Danio rerio: one gene and its partners. The protein of the gene in region 1 interacts with the protein of each later gene in a pairwise test. Links are inferred from orthologs where the notes say so. Each region holds a gene or a part of one and is shown on either strand. Other genes may lie near its edges.

Evidence for each region.
Region 2: the proteins of gorab (region 1) and rchy1 interact in a two-hybrid assay, tested with the Homo sapiens proteins (3 studies listed by BioGRID and IntAct). The link is inferred for Danio rerio from reciprocal best matches to the Homo sapiens genes GORAB and RCHY1.
Region 3: the proteins of gorab (region 1) and scyl1 interact in a two-hybrid assay, tested with the Homo sapiens proteins (2 studies listed by BioGRID and IntAct). The link is inferred for Danio rerio from reciprocal best matches to the Homo sapiens genes GORAB and SCYL1.

The regions. Positions count from the first base shown.
Region 1 is NC_133195.1:37,777,690-37,781,671, forward strand, and holds the end of gorab (RAB6-interacting golgin), read left to right. Parts: intron 1-2,129; coding exon 2,130-2,508; 3' UTR 2,509-3,430; downstream 3,431-3,982.
Region 2 is NC_133180.1:9,853,566-9,857,219, reverse strand, and holds part of rchy1 (RING finger and CHY zinc finger domain-containing protein 1), read right to left. Parts: coding exon 3,599-3,654; intron 3,329-3,598; coding exon 3,299-3,328; intron 367-3,298; coding exon 246-366; intron 1-245. UniProt on the Homo sapiens protein: E3 ubiquitin-protein ligase that mediates ubiquitination of target proteins, including p53/TP53, TP73, HDAC1 and CDKN1B. Mediates ubiquitination and degradation of p53/TP53; preferentially acts on tetrameric p53/TP53.
Region 3 is NC_133189.1:50,214,077-50,218,432, reverse strand, and holds the start of scyl1 (N-terminal kinase-like protein), read left to right. Parts: upstream 1-1,483; 5' UTR 1,484-1,537; coding exon 1,538-1,645; intron 1,646-2,409; coding exon 2,410-2,550; intron 2,551-4,356. Other genes in the region: zgc:194285 (uncharacterized protein LOC793726), read right to left, coding at 50-517. UniProt on the Homo sapiens protein: Regulates COPI-mediated retrograde protein traffic at the interface between the Golgi apparatus and the endoplasmic reticulum. Involved in the maintenance of the Golgi apparatus morphology.

The DNA of each region.
Region 1 (3,982 bases):
TGCTCCTTTTGAATTTTTTTTTGCAATAAAGTTTAACATTTTTAAATGACAATATAGTGAAGTAAAATTTCAAACTCGGACTCAACTTTAGTATCCCATTTAGAGAAAGTAAAATTGCAGTAAGGTGCCATAACACAGGCAAAGTTCCATGTACACATTAGCAAAATATTACCACAAATCATACAATACATCATATTTAGATGCATCTCCCTCCCCACTGGACTCATTTAATGACCTAATGGCTACCTATTTGCAGGACAATGCCCATTAGGAACTCTAAAATGACATCCTGATGGCAGCAGCTAAAACACGGAGAACAATGGGTGACCTGGAGTGCATAAGATACCCTGAGCTCTCTTTAAAACATAATTATGGTAAATTATCATTGGAACAGTTTAGTTAAAACCGATGACCTTGCCTGCCACCTTCACAAGACTACTCAACCTGTTCTTATTTGACAGACTCGGATTACTGTAACAAGCAAAAATGCAGAAAGATAAAACAGATTCAATAAATTGTTTATAAAACAGTGACACCATAGAGCTGCAAACCCCAAATTATCGAAGTTTCCCAGAAAAAAAAAGTCTTTGAATGTTTTTATTTTTTATAAACAGCCTGGGTGTTATGTCAACATATTGTAGATAAAGACCCCTAGATATTTATGTGTGTCAACAATTTCAATGACCACACCTTTACTAGTTGTTATGCTGGGGGTAGGAGAAGCCTTCCTGTAATCTATCAACATAAATAGTATTCAAACACTTTATGAGCAATGCAGTCTGAATGAAGTAAAAAAGAATTCTAAGCAATCCATCTCATGTACACTTTCCATTTTACGATCTGATAGAAGATGCAGAACCTCACGGTAGAAACGGAACAGACTTTAGAACTCTTTTTATCCCAGTGTCAATCAGACTATTGAACATGGATCGATAGTGTGCTTACGTTTTTTCCTGTATGTAATTCTTTAGGATGTTTGCTTATTTTATCATTTTTATTGTGTCAGAACTTGAAGTGCTCTGAGAGTCCAGGGAAATTTCCCCTTGAGGTACAATAAAGTATACAAACAAATAAATAAACAAACCATTACCAAATTGTTTAATTCTATAAACTACTAAAATTGTCCAAATTCTAAAAAATTTTTTGAAGGCTTCTGTGTGTATGTTCAGTTTTGTCTTTTTTTATGGCGATTTTATGGCTTTTTATGGTTCTTTTTGTTTTTAAAGTGAAATAATAAAAAAGAAACACGAGGCTGCAAAAAATGCTAGTTTTGGAAGAAAATTTTAAATGACTTGAGTTATACTTTTCAGGAAATTCATCTTGGTCTCAAATAGCAAATTTGTCTTGAACTCGGTACACATACAAAAGAGAGGCACCTAACATTTACCAATAACAATGAGATTTAAAAGACCCTTCAAGGTAGTTTGTCATTTAAAATGCTAATGCACACTAGTAGAAAATCGCTTATAACCAATCCTTTTACACAAAAGAACTTTGTATTGCTTTCTAAGCTGGCAGTTAGAGGCTTCTGCATCTGAACTCTTCTATATTCTATGCATATTGTATATGTGTGTGTGTGTAGAGAAAGTGTGAGTATCACTCAGATAATTAATTTTATTTACTTGAAATGCAATATTGCATAAATAAAATTTGAAAAATAATGGAATACTAATGTGTTTCACTTATTCCTCATCATTTACTAGGAATCCTTTATTTTGAAAATGACCCCCTCTATCTATTAGTTAGGCTTTACTGCAAGCTTTTATTTTATTAAATTAACTTGGTTACTTGCTCCGGTTTCCCCCACAATTCCAAAGACGCGCTATAGGTAAATTGGGTAAGCTAAATTGTACATAGTGTATGTGTGTGAAGGAGAGAGTATGGGTGGTTCCCAGTGATGGGTTGCAACTGGAAGGGTATCCGCTGTGTAAAATATATGCTGAATAAGTTGGCGGTTCATTCCACTGTGGTGACCTCAGATTAATAAAGGGACTAAGCCAAAAGGAAAATGAATGTATGAACTTGGTCATTTATTTTTAAAAGAATTCAGTGTTCCTTCACCTCAAGCTTGTATTGATCTTCATACATCTAACTCTACTATCTCTGCCGATCCCTCTCACTGTTAACAGGAAGCGCTTTGAGAAAGCAGAGGCTGAGTATGTTGCCGCTAAGATGGACTTGCACAGGAAGACCGAGGTGAAAGAGCAGCTGACAGAGCACCTGTGTGCAATCATCCAACAGAACGAGCTGCGCAAGGCCCGCAAACTGGAAGAGCTGATGCTGCAGCTGGAGCTAAATGCTGAGGAAGTGCCCAGTCCAGATCAAACGCAACTACAGGACAAACAGAAAGAGCCTGTTACTGAGAACGGTCCTGCAGCAGAGCTGGAGAGATGTACAGAGGCGAATGGCTCAAGTATGAGCAAAGACAGTTCCATTACAGAAACCAAGATCAGCCAAGACAATCAGGAGAGTGAAGCAGCAGATGTTTCAGCAGATGGGCTTCGCTAGCTTCCAAGCATCATTAATTTAAAAGAGGCTTCATAACGCTTTACATAACACTTGCTACCAGCTTTACAAATATCTCTATTGTGTGAGAATGCTGAACAAAAGCAATGATCCTATATTTCTTTATTTAAACATTTTTGGCATTTTTGGATTATACAAAAGCCATGTTGGTGTCTTCTCAAATGCCATGAAGGTAATTCCATTACTACTAACGCTAAAATGCCTTGGCATTATGGGACTCAGATATTGATTGTGATTGTTTTCATTTAAACTGTTACTTGATCCTGAATGTGAGGAGTTAAAACAATGCTGCATCCTTTTATTGTGCTTCATCTGGATGTCATTGTATAATTTAATCTGTCTTGCATTAAGAAAATGGACCACAAATCTCTTGAAAACACTACATTAAATACTAAATACTGTTAATTTTATATCGTTCCATAACTGTGACACTATTCAAAATGAATTAGTGGCAGGCGGTCTGGTGGTAGTTTGTAGTCATGATTTATTTCACATGATGTTGCACAAGTGTATGGTGGGATCTTTTATCTGTATATGGTGGTTGTCTCATAAAAGTAACGTTATGCGAATGTTAACAAATCAATAACAGCAGTTTTTTTTTTCTTGCAAAGCTGATGGTTTACTCAGCAGAGATTGTTTTGTACAGTATGAGGGAAAATTCTATTGGAGTGTGAAAAGTATATAGAATTTAAAAATCTTGTCAAATGCTCTTATAGAGCCCGTCATCAACTATGAAAACATTTTATATAATGGTCAGGATATTTATTTTTAAAAAAGGTTTAGGATATGACTTTTTTTTTTTTTTAAGTAAATTGTAATGTCTTTCGTTTCATTTCATGCGTGCACGAATGGGTGTCAAGGCATATACATATTTTAATGGTTAAATAAAATATTTAAATATCAATCCGTTTTAAGTTTTTTTTTTTTTTTATTGCACTCAAGACTATATACTTTCTAAAAGACCAGTTTACATTTTTGTATGACTTTTAAACATCTAAAGGAGAATGTTTTAATTTGTTGTGAAGATTATGTAAGTTGATTTTATCTTTTTAATAGGATGTAAGCAGTTTTTAGGGAAACATCTTTGCAGTGCTATTATAGATATCAATTAAACATTTAAAGCGTTCAGAAATATATGGACGGCTATTGAGAAATAGAAAAGATTGTTTTGCTATATTATGAATTAAAAGGTGCATAATGCGTTAATGTTTACAAGAGCTACATTAAATATTATAATTCCATGTAATAAGATGAAATCACTAAAATATTACCTGCAGTAGCCTATTACTTTCTTTATATTCTGGTTTGATTGTACAAAACAAGGACTGACAAATTCTGGAAGTAAATACAGGAAAGGAGAAGCACAGTTTGCGAGAGCGCATTTCTGATTTATGTGCCCTCAGTCCGCCGGGACAGGTTGAAAAGACTCCGTAACCCGAGAAACTCTTGGGAAATA
Region 2 (3,654 bases), on another chromosome or scaffold:
CTATGACCATTTATGTGAAGCAGCTGTGACACAATCTACATTGTAAAAGCGCTATACAAATAAAGCTGAATTGAATTTGTTAACTGTCATAGAAATGTAACAAATAAATCTTTAAAAAAACGAGCATAAACACAACTTTACATATTTCTTATGGAAAATCAGCTATTGACTTTGGTTGTGTCTGTGCTGCTCCTTATTTGCAAGTTGTGTTAAGATAATGAACATGTAAATGAAGGCTCGGTAACCTTGACTGTACTGTCCTGGTACTCAGTGGGCATTGGAGTCTGGGAGATTTCCTCATCCATCTGCTTCCAGTACTCCTTCATGTTGAAGGCCGAGTGCATACAGAGAGGACAGCGATACGCACTGCAGGACAGAACAACACACAGGGTCATACAACTATAAGACTGCTTTATAGAATGCAATGATTGTTTAATATGGATGCATCAAATTTTTGGACAGGAAATGGCATTTGGTTTTGACCAAAAGAAAAAAGGGAAAGTGTTTAGGGCACTGGTTTCACTCACTTTCAAACTGTAGTAACTGTGCTCAGTGTAGAGGCTTTCACACAGGACACAGAAAGCGCTGCACTATAAATCCTATTCATTGTAAAGGCTTGCATTGCGCAATGGTTATTTAATTAGCCTGTGCGTTTTAAAATCAGTAAAATTTTTCATTTAAATATACAAATTTTACATTTGAAAATTCTCAGAAAAAAAAAAGATTGTATAATCCTCAAAATGAGCCTTTCGGTAGAGGTCTGCGACCAGATTTCTGCGGCGCGGGAATAAATTTCCGAATAAATCGCGGGAGCGGTCGGTAACGGGTTTAATTTGGGACGGGAGCGGGCTGTCTAGCAATATCGCGGATATTGCGATGCGAATGAGAGAGAGAGAGAGAGCTTTGCCTGTGTGTGTGCTTGGTGCTTGTGTGTGTGTATGTTAGTGTGCGCGCACGAATGAGAGAGAGAGAGAGAGAGAGCTTTCCCAGATAGCAAAATACACTCGGGCCAGTTCCGGCTAGATTCTTGTCTGCCGGAGACTTACCACTCGGCCCGGCTCCGGCTGCCGGACTCGAATCAATTGGGCCAGATACGGCGGCCGTAAGCGAGCCGACGCTGCCGCATCCGCGCCGGAATCGGCCCGAGGGTAATGTGCGCTGCGGCCCGGAGCTGGCGCGACTCAGTATTTATATACCTTTATATAAAACCTTTTGGTATTACATTGGTACTTGATACATGGTATTACAAGCCTTCGAGTTGATATAACAGCAAACGCCTGTGTGTCTGCTTGGTGCTTGTGTGTGTGTTAGTGCGCGCGCGCATATGAGAGAGAGCTTTGTCTGTGTGTGTGTGCTTGATGCTGTGTGTGTGTGTGTTTATACAGACAGCTTGGCTGTCTGGACTGTATAGCTGGGTGATTTTCGGTTTTGTTCTCCCCCGCTCTTTAGCAGGATCGGGCGCGGCGGCCAGAAAACGGGGCGGGTCGGGCAGCGGGACAACAAATTTTTAATATAAGCGGGAGCGGTCGGGTTCGGGCTAAAACCTGGCTGGTGCGGGCGGGATTCAAAATTTAGTCCCGCGCAGATCTCTACCTTTCGGTGCATCCCTAATATTAAAAGCATGTACACATGGTTAAGATATGCTGCTAGAGCATAGCACATGGGTTTGAAATCTCTTAAATGCTATAATAATCTTTTTTGCGGCTTTATCTATCATTATATAGTTATATAGGCCTTGGCATTTGAGGATTTAAGGATATAGTTGTAAAAATAAATTACAATTGCCTAGTAGTTTTAATCTTTTATGAATGTCTTCTGTTCAACACAAAACCAGATATTCTGAAGAATCTGGGGAAAAAGCAGCCATTGTCATCTAACCAATATTTTGGAAGCCAATGGACCCTATCATATACCTGGCGCAATGTGGTGCAAGTCGCGTCACAATTGTTGTTTGCTAGTTTCAGCTTGGCGCAAGAGTTGTTTTGAAGTTTTGCACCACGCTGTTTAAATAGCAAATGCATTTGCTCTCATGTGCGCGCCCATAGGCGCTCTGGTCTAAAAAGGGAGGCGTTCTGACGTGCATTGCTGGCGCGTTGCTATTTTGAGAAACTTTAATAGATTTTTTTATTGACCAAAACAAATCCAGTCGAAAGTCCAGCGCAGAGATGTGCCTCACTTACACACTGCTTAATACACACAAGATGTAGAGCAATAGGCAAATATCTTTACATATGAAAAAGAAATAAAATATTAAGGATATATATAGGATATAATAAGAATATATATAGGATATAAATATAAAGGATTAAAATATTACAAACCATATTATTTTCTAGCCTTCCTAAATATGAAAAACCACTGCCTTCATGCCTTCTTCATCTCCGGAGGCTTTTTTAGTTCATTCAATTTGCTTTTGTATAATGTTCTTATTATTAGCAGTATTATTTATTATATCCATATTTATATTTGTTTTATTAAAAACAAGCTTAGATTTGCCCACCTGTCAGGTTTTAGACCATATGGGGCACAGCATGTGTATTAGGATGTAACTCAGGTTTTTGAACACACTTAATTATTATTGTTCATTTATTTGTTTGCTGGAAATTAGAACTGAATTTAGAAATAGTTTTGAAACAAATCTTTGCGCTTAACAAACATAATTAATTATTTTTAGGCTAATTGATGTCTGTGCGTCAAGGTTTCCCTATGCACAAGAGTGAAAGTGAAAGTTAATCAATTATCTCTCATTTTTGCACTGCAGATGCTCCGTTTAACTGTTTTCTTGCTAGTGAAATGCTCAGTTTTTCCACTTACACTTATTTTACATCATGTAAATAGCAAACACGCTATGCCGTGACACAACTGGCTCTTAAGGGAATGGGAGATGAGGCTCTGATTGGTTTATTCTCAAAACACACCTATAACTCATTAAGAAAATAAACTCAACCCTTTTAGACTATGAGCCACGGCGCAAAGTGGATTTTTCCGTCCTTATATTAGCAAAAATGGATTCTGACACGCCCTGAAAGCGTTTGCGCCCTGCTCTTTATGCATGGATCGTTAAAATAAAGCCTAATGTCTGCTCTTTCCAATATTCTTCCAAATATTTATTTTGGGAGAAACAAAAGATATAAACTCAAACATGTCTGGTCAAGTGGAGGCAGATTCCATAAATAATTCCAGAATTTTCATTTTTATGTGAAATATGCCTTTTAAATGTATGCAAAAAAAAAAGAATAAACTATGAATTATGCAAAAGATAACATTAATACAACAAGCAAATCAAATTGACACTTACCCAGTTTTCAACATGTCATCAAAGCAGGTTCTACAAGCAAAAAAGATAAAGTGTATGAGCATTAAATTACATACACCTGATAACTTTATAATAAGGGCTCATGACAATATAACGAACACACACATTATACATGCACATATACTATGTAAATACCCATTTGGGATGCAATTAGTCAAAATTAATCGTCAAACACAAAAAAACAAATACAGTACCTATTTAGTATCCAAGATCAGCGAATCAGTGCATATTCCTGAAGTGCAAGTAACTTATTTCATGCAGGGCAGAAGTTGAAGCACTCACCCGTGCAGCAGATGACCGCATGGCAGAACGTGAGCTCCAACTCTGGACGTGTGGAT
Region 3 (4,356 bases), on another chromosome or scaffold:
CGCGGAAGTCAAAATAGGCGAGTATAAAACCAACTTTACCCATCTCAAGTTATTCTGAAGGTGTGTCGTTTAATTCTGGAGCCTCCGCGGGAATCGGAGCCTCGAGTTTCTGTTCTTTGTCGACAAGATCGTCGTCCAGTTGTGCTTTACTTTCCGGTGTGGTTTTCTGCTTGCTATAGCCCATTTGCTTCAATGCACGGCGTGCTGTACGTTCAGAGATGCTCCTCTTGGTCTCCTCGTTGTAACGAGCTGTTAACTCGGTTACGGTAGCTTTTCTATCAGCCTTAATAAGTCTGCTCATCCTCTTCTGACCGTGGTCATCAACGAGGCTTTTTCGTCCACATTCCTGTCGGCCAGTGGTTGTTTTGTCCTTCAATGACCATTCCCTGTAAACCCTGGAGACTGTAGTGCGAGAAAGTCCTAGCAGCTCAGCGGTGTCGGAAACACTCAGACCAGCCTGTCTGGCTCCAACAATCATCCCGCGTTGAAAATCACTTAAATCACCTTTCTGTCCCATTCCGAAAAGCAAATATATGGTCAGGTTATATACGATTAAGAGAGTTGACAAAACAAATGCCTCTGTTTTATTAGAAGTAAACCAAGAAAGCGCGTTGGCGCATCAACAGTCGTCTTAAGTGTTTTATTATTGGCGGTTTGTATACAACTTCTTGGCGCATTACCGCCAACTGCTGGTTAGGAGTGCAGGTTATGATCGCACATACTATTGTGCATACAGACCAAAAACGCCCCCCCCCCCCCCCCACCCCCAACGTTATTTGAATTGAAGATGAATCCAAATAATCTTGATGAACTCTGGGAGTCCTGCAAGAACGCTTTCTTTGCCATTCCAGATGACTGTATTGTGTAAGTGATTTGAGTCATTGCAGAGATGTATGGATGCAGTCCTTCAAGCTATATATATATATATATATATATGATTAAAACTTCTGTACAACAAGATGAAATACATTCAAAGCCAAAAAGAGCGTGTGCGCTGGATTGTAATGTAGGAATTTTCTTAAATATTAACTTTAATGTTGTATTCTGTTAAATACCCGTTTACGTCATTAAAACTGTTTGTAAAACAGAGGTATTGCTTGTGTTTCAGCAATGCATGACTTCTAAATGAAAGTGCAGCCTTGTTTAAGACCTCAGTCAGAGTTTGATATTGTGTGCATCTCAAAGACAAAAATATTACACTGTATTATTATTATTATTATTAGATAAAATGTTGAACATGAAACAGTTAAGAAACAAGAAAATGTAAAGTGAACGGCCAGAGCATCAAGTAAATATTTGAAGCATCCACACTATTACAATTAAATATATTCTAACCTAAAATAAAAGCTTGAGAAAACGTTTGAGGGATTATCTGCTCTCTATGTTACCTATAATAATAATATCAGCAAAAGGAGCAGTAGAAAAATGATGGTCACGTGACCATGTTTCGTGCATGGTCGGCGGCGGAGTCGGTGCGCCCTCTATTGGTTCGTTGTCCGTCCAACAGCAACACCGTGGGCTGGACTGACGGGGAAGGATGTGGTCCTTTTTCGCTCGGGATCCTATTAAAGACTTCAACTATGAATTATTACCCGAAAACCAAGAAAAATCAGGCATATGGACCCTTAGCCGGGGCAAGCGCAAGGTAAAATGACTTGACATACTAAAATAAAGCTAATAGTGTCGCAGCAGGCCGCTAAAGCCTCGGGCTAAAGTGCAGCTACATCCCGCTTAGCATCCCGCATCAGCGTGTGAACATAAAAGCCAAACGAGCAGCTTTAAAACACCCACGATTTGTAAAAAGGTTATATGTTTTAATATCCACGTATCACTACCTTCTGGGGCGTATTAGTTTGATAATGAAATTATTTATTACAGAAAATTAGATGTGTCATCCTTTCACCAGAGTACGTAACATTGCTGTGGCCACGTCAACAGAAAGCTGGTCACATCAAACTGCTGAATAATATTTACGTGACAGTCATATGTTTTCAGTTGTTTCTTTGTTTTCTGGTATTTGTTATCGATTGTTACATTGGTATTGCTCGTTTAATTATGTTTAATGGCAGAGGAAAGCGGCAGTGTTATTATTAGTGATTACTGTACACGTGTCCTGACAGGCCATATATTAATAACTGTACCCGATCATCATCATTTCATCTATCATATTAGCAACTGCATCTGATGGCATTTTACTAAACGTACCGATGCATCAGTAACTATAGATCATCTAATTAACAGAAGAGTGGCAGATCAGTAGAAAGGGATGTACATTGCAGACTTTATCAGTGTTTTTAAAGAATAGTAAACATATTCAGGACATTCTGGTTGTGCAGGTTTTTCTAAATTGCATTTTTCTTTTCAGATGAGTTGTATATCAACCTAATCTGTACCTTCCTTTTATTCCAGTCGACCGGTGAACCCGTGTCAGTCTTTGTGTATGAGGTTTCTCAAGGAACGGAAGAGCAGACACAGCTGGCTAAAGCAGCTTTCAAGCGCACAAAAACCCTCAGACATCCCAACATCCTGTCGTATGTAGATGGGCTGGAGGTAAGGATGTAATGTTGATTAAATTCACCTGTTTATCGGTGTAATGGTGAATCATATGGAGATTGTTCTCTTGAAACAATGTCTCACTCCTGATTATTCAGGTCCTTGTCAATAATAAATGGCTATTCTGAAATATTCTGCAATCCAAGAATAGAAAAAGAATAAATATTGGTCATTTTAGGGCCATTATAGTGCATAATCCTGTACACACACACACAGTAACTGAACTGACTCCTAAAAATCTATGGTGGTGACATCTAGTTTTTGGCGAGGCAGTGGCACAATAGGTAGTGCTGTCGCCTCACAGCAAGAAGGTCGCTGATTCGAACCTCGGCTCAGTTGGTGTTTCTGTGTGGAGTTTGCATGTTCTCCCTGCCTTCGTGTGGGTTTCCTCTGGGTGCTCCGGTTTCCCCCACAGTCCAAAGACATGCGGTACAGGTGAATTGGGTAGGCTAAATTGTCCATAGTGTATGAGTGTGGGTGTGGATGTTTCCCAGAGATGGGTTGCGGCTGGAAGGGCATCCGCTGCATAAAAACATGGTGAATAAGTTGGCGGTTCATTCTGCTGTGGCGACCCTGGATTAATAAAGGCACTTAGCCGACAAGAAAATGAATGAATGAATGACATCTAGTTTTTAATAACATTCATTCATTTTCCTTTGACTTCCCTTTATTCATTTTGCCACAGCCAAATGAACCCCCAACTTATCCATTATATGTTTTACACAGCGGATGCCCTTCCAACTGCAACCTAGTACTGGGAAGCATCCATACACGCTCATTCACACAAATACACTATGGGCAATTTAGCTTACCCAATTCACCTATAGCGCATGTGTTTGGACTGTTGGGGAAACCGAAGCACCTGGAGGAAACCCACACCAACATGGAGAGAACATGCAAACTCCACACAGAAATGCTAACTTACCCAGCTGGAACTCAAACCAGCGACCTTCTTGCTGTGAGGCGACAACCACTGAGCCACCGTGTAACCTTAATGATGTTATGTAAATATTTTTTATAGATTTTGTGGTATATATTGTGATTGGTATTTGCACCTTTAGTAACTCCATAAACTGGAAGTCTTTCTGAGCACAAGCAAAAAACCAAAAGGACATGTTTATGCCAGTGGCCTGTATTTGCTGTCATACAATGACTTCAGTAGGGAGCAAAGTTATTTGATCATTAAGGCTGAATGAAAGTATAGTTCCTACTAGAAAGAAGCAAGTCATTTTCCATCTGTGTAAGTAGTACACAACGTAACTACAGAAGAGTCAAACTTTAATTAGGAAAACTATTGAAACTCTTTGAGTCATTTTTGATGAAGATGTTAGTGGTCAAATCTGATTTGATGATCTATGCTGAGCTAAGCTAAAAGGGCTGCAGCCAGAACCGGGAATAGCTGAATGGATAAAAAAATTGTAACATTCACTGATTAAACTCGAGGGCTGTTATATAGTTAGCCTTTTTTTTAAACTGAAGTGTCATTGGCCACCAAACTTGTTCCTGGAGGGCCGGTGTCCTGTAGATTTTAGCTCCAACCCTAATCAAACACACCTGAACAAGCTAATCAAGGTCTTACTAGGTATACTTAAATCCAGGCAGGTGTGTAAAGGCAAGTTGGAGCTAAACCCTGCAGGGACACCAGCCCTACAGGACCGAGATTGGTGACCCCTGCTTTATATGTTCATGAGTGACATGACCTGTTCTTAAAGTGTGTACATGGCTTATGTTAGCAGGAGGTTTTACACAAAATTAAATGATAATTATCAACGATGCATTTTTAATTAATTCAACTGTGTTTTC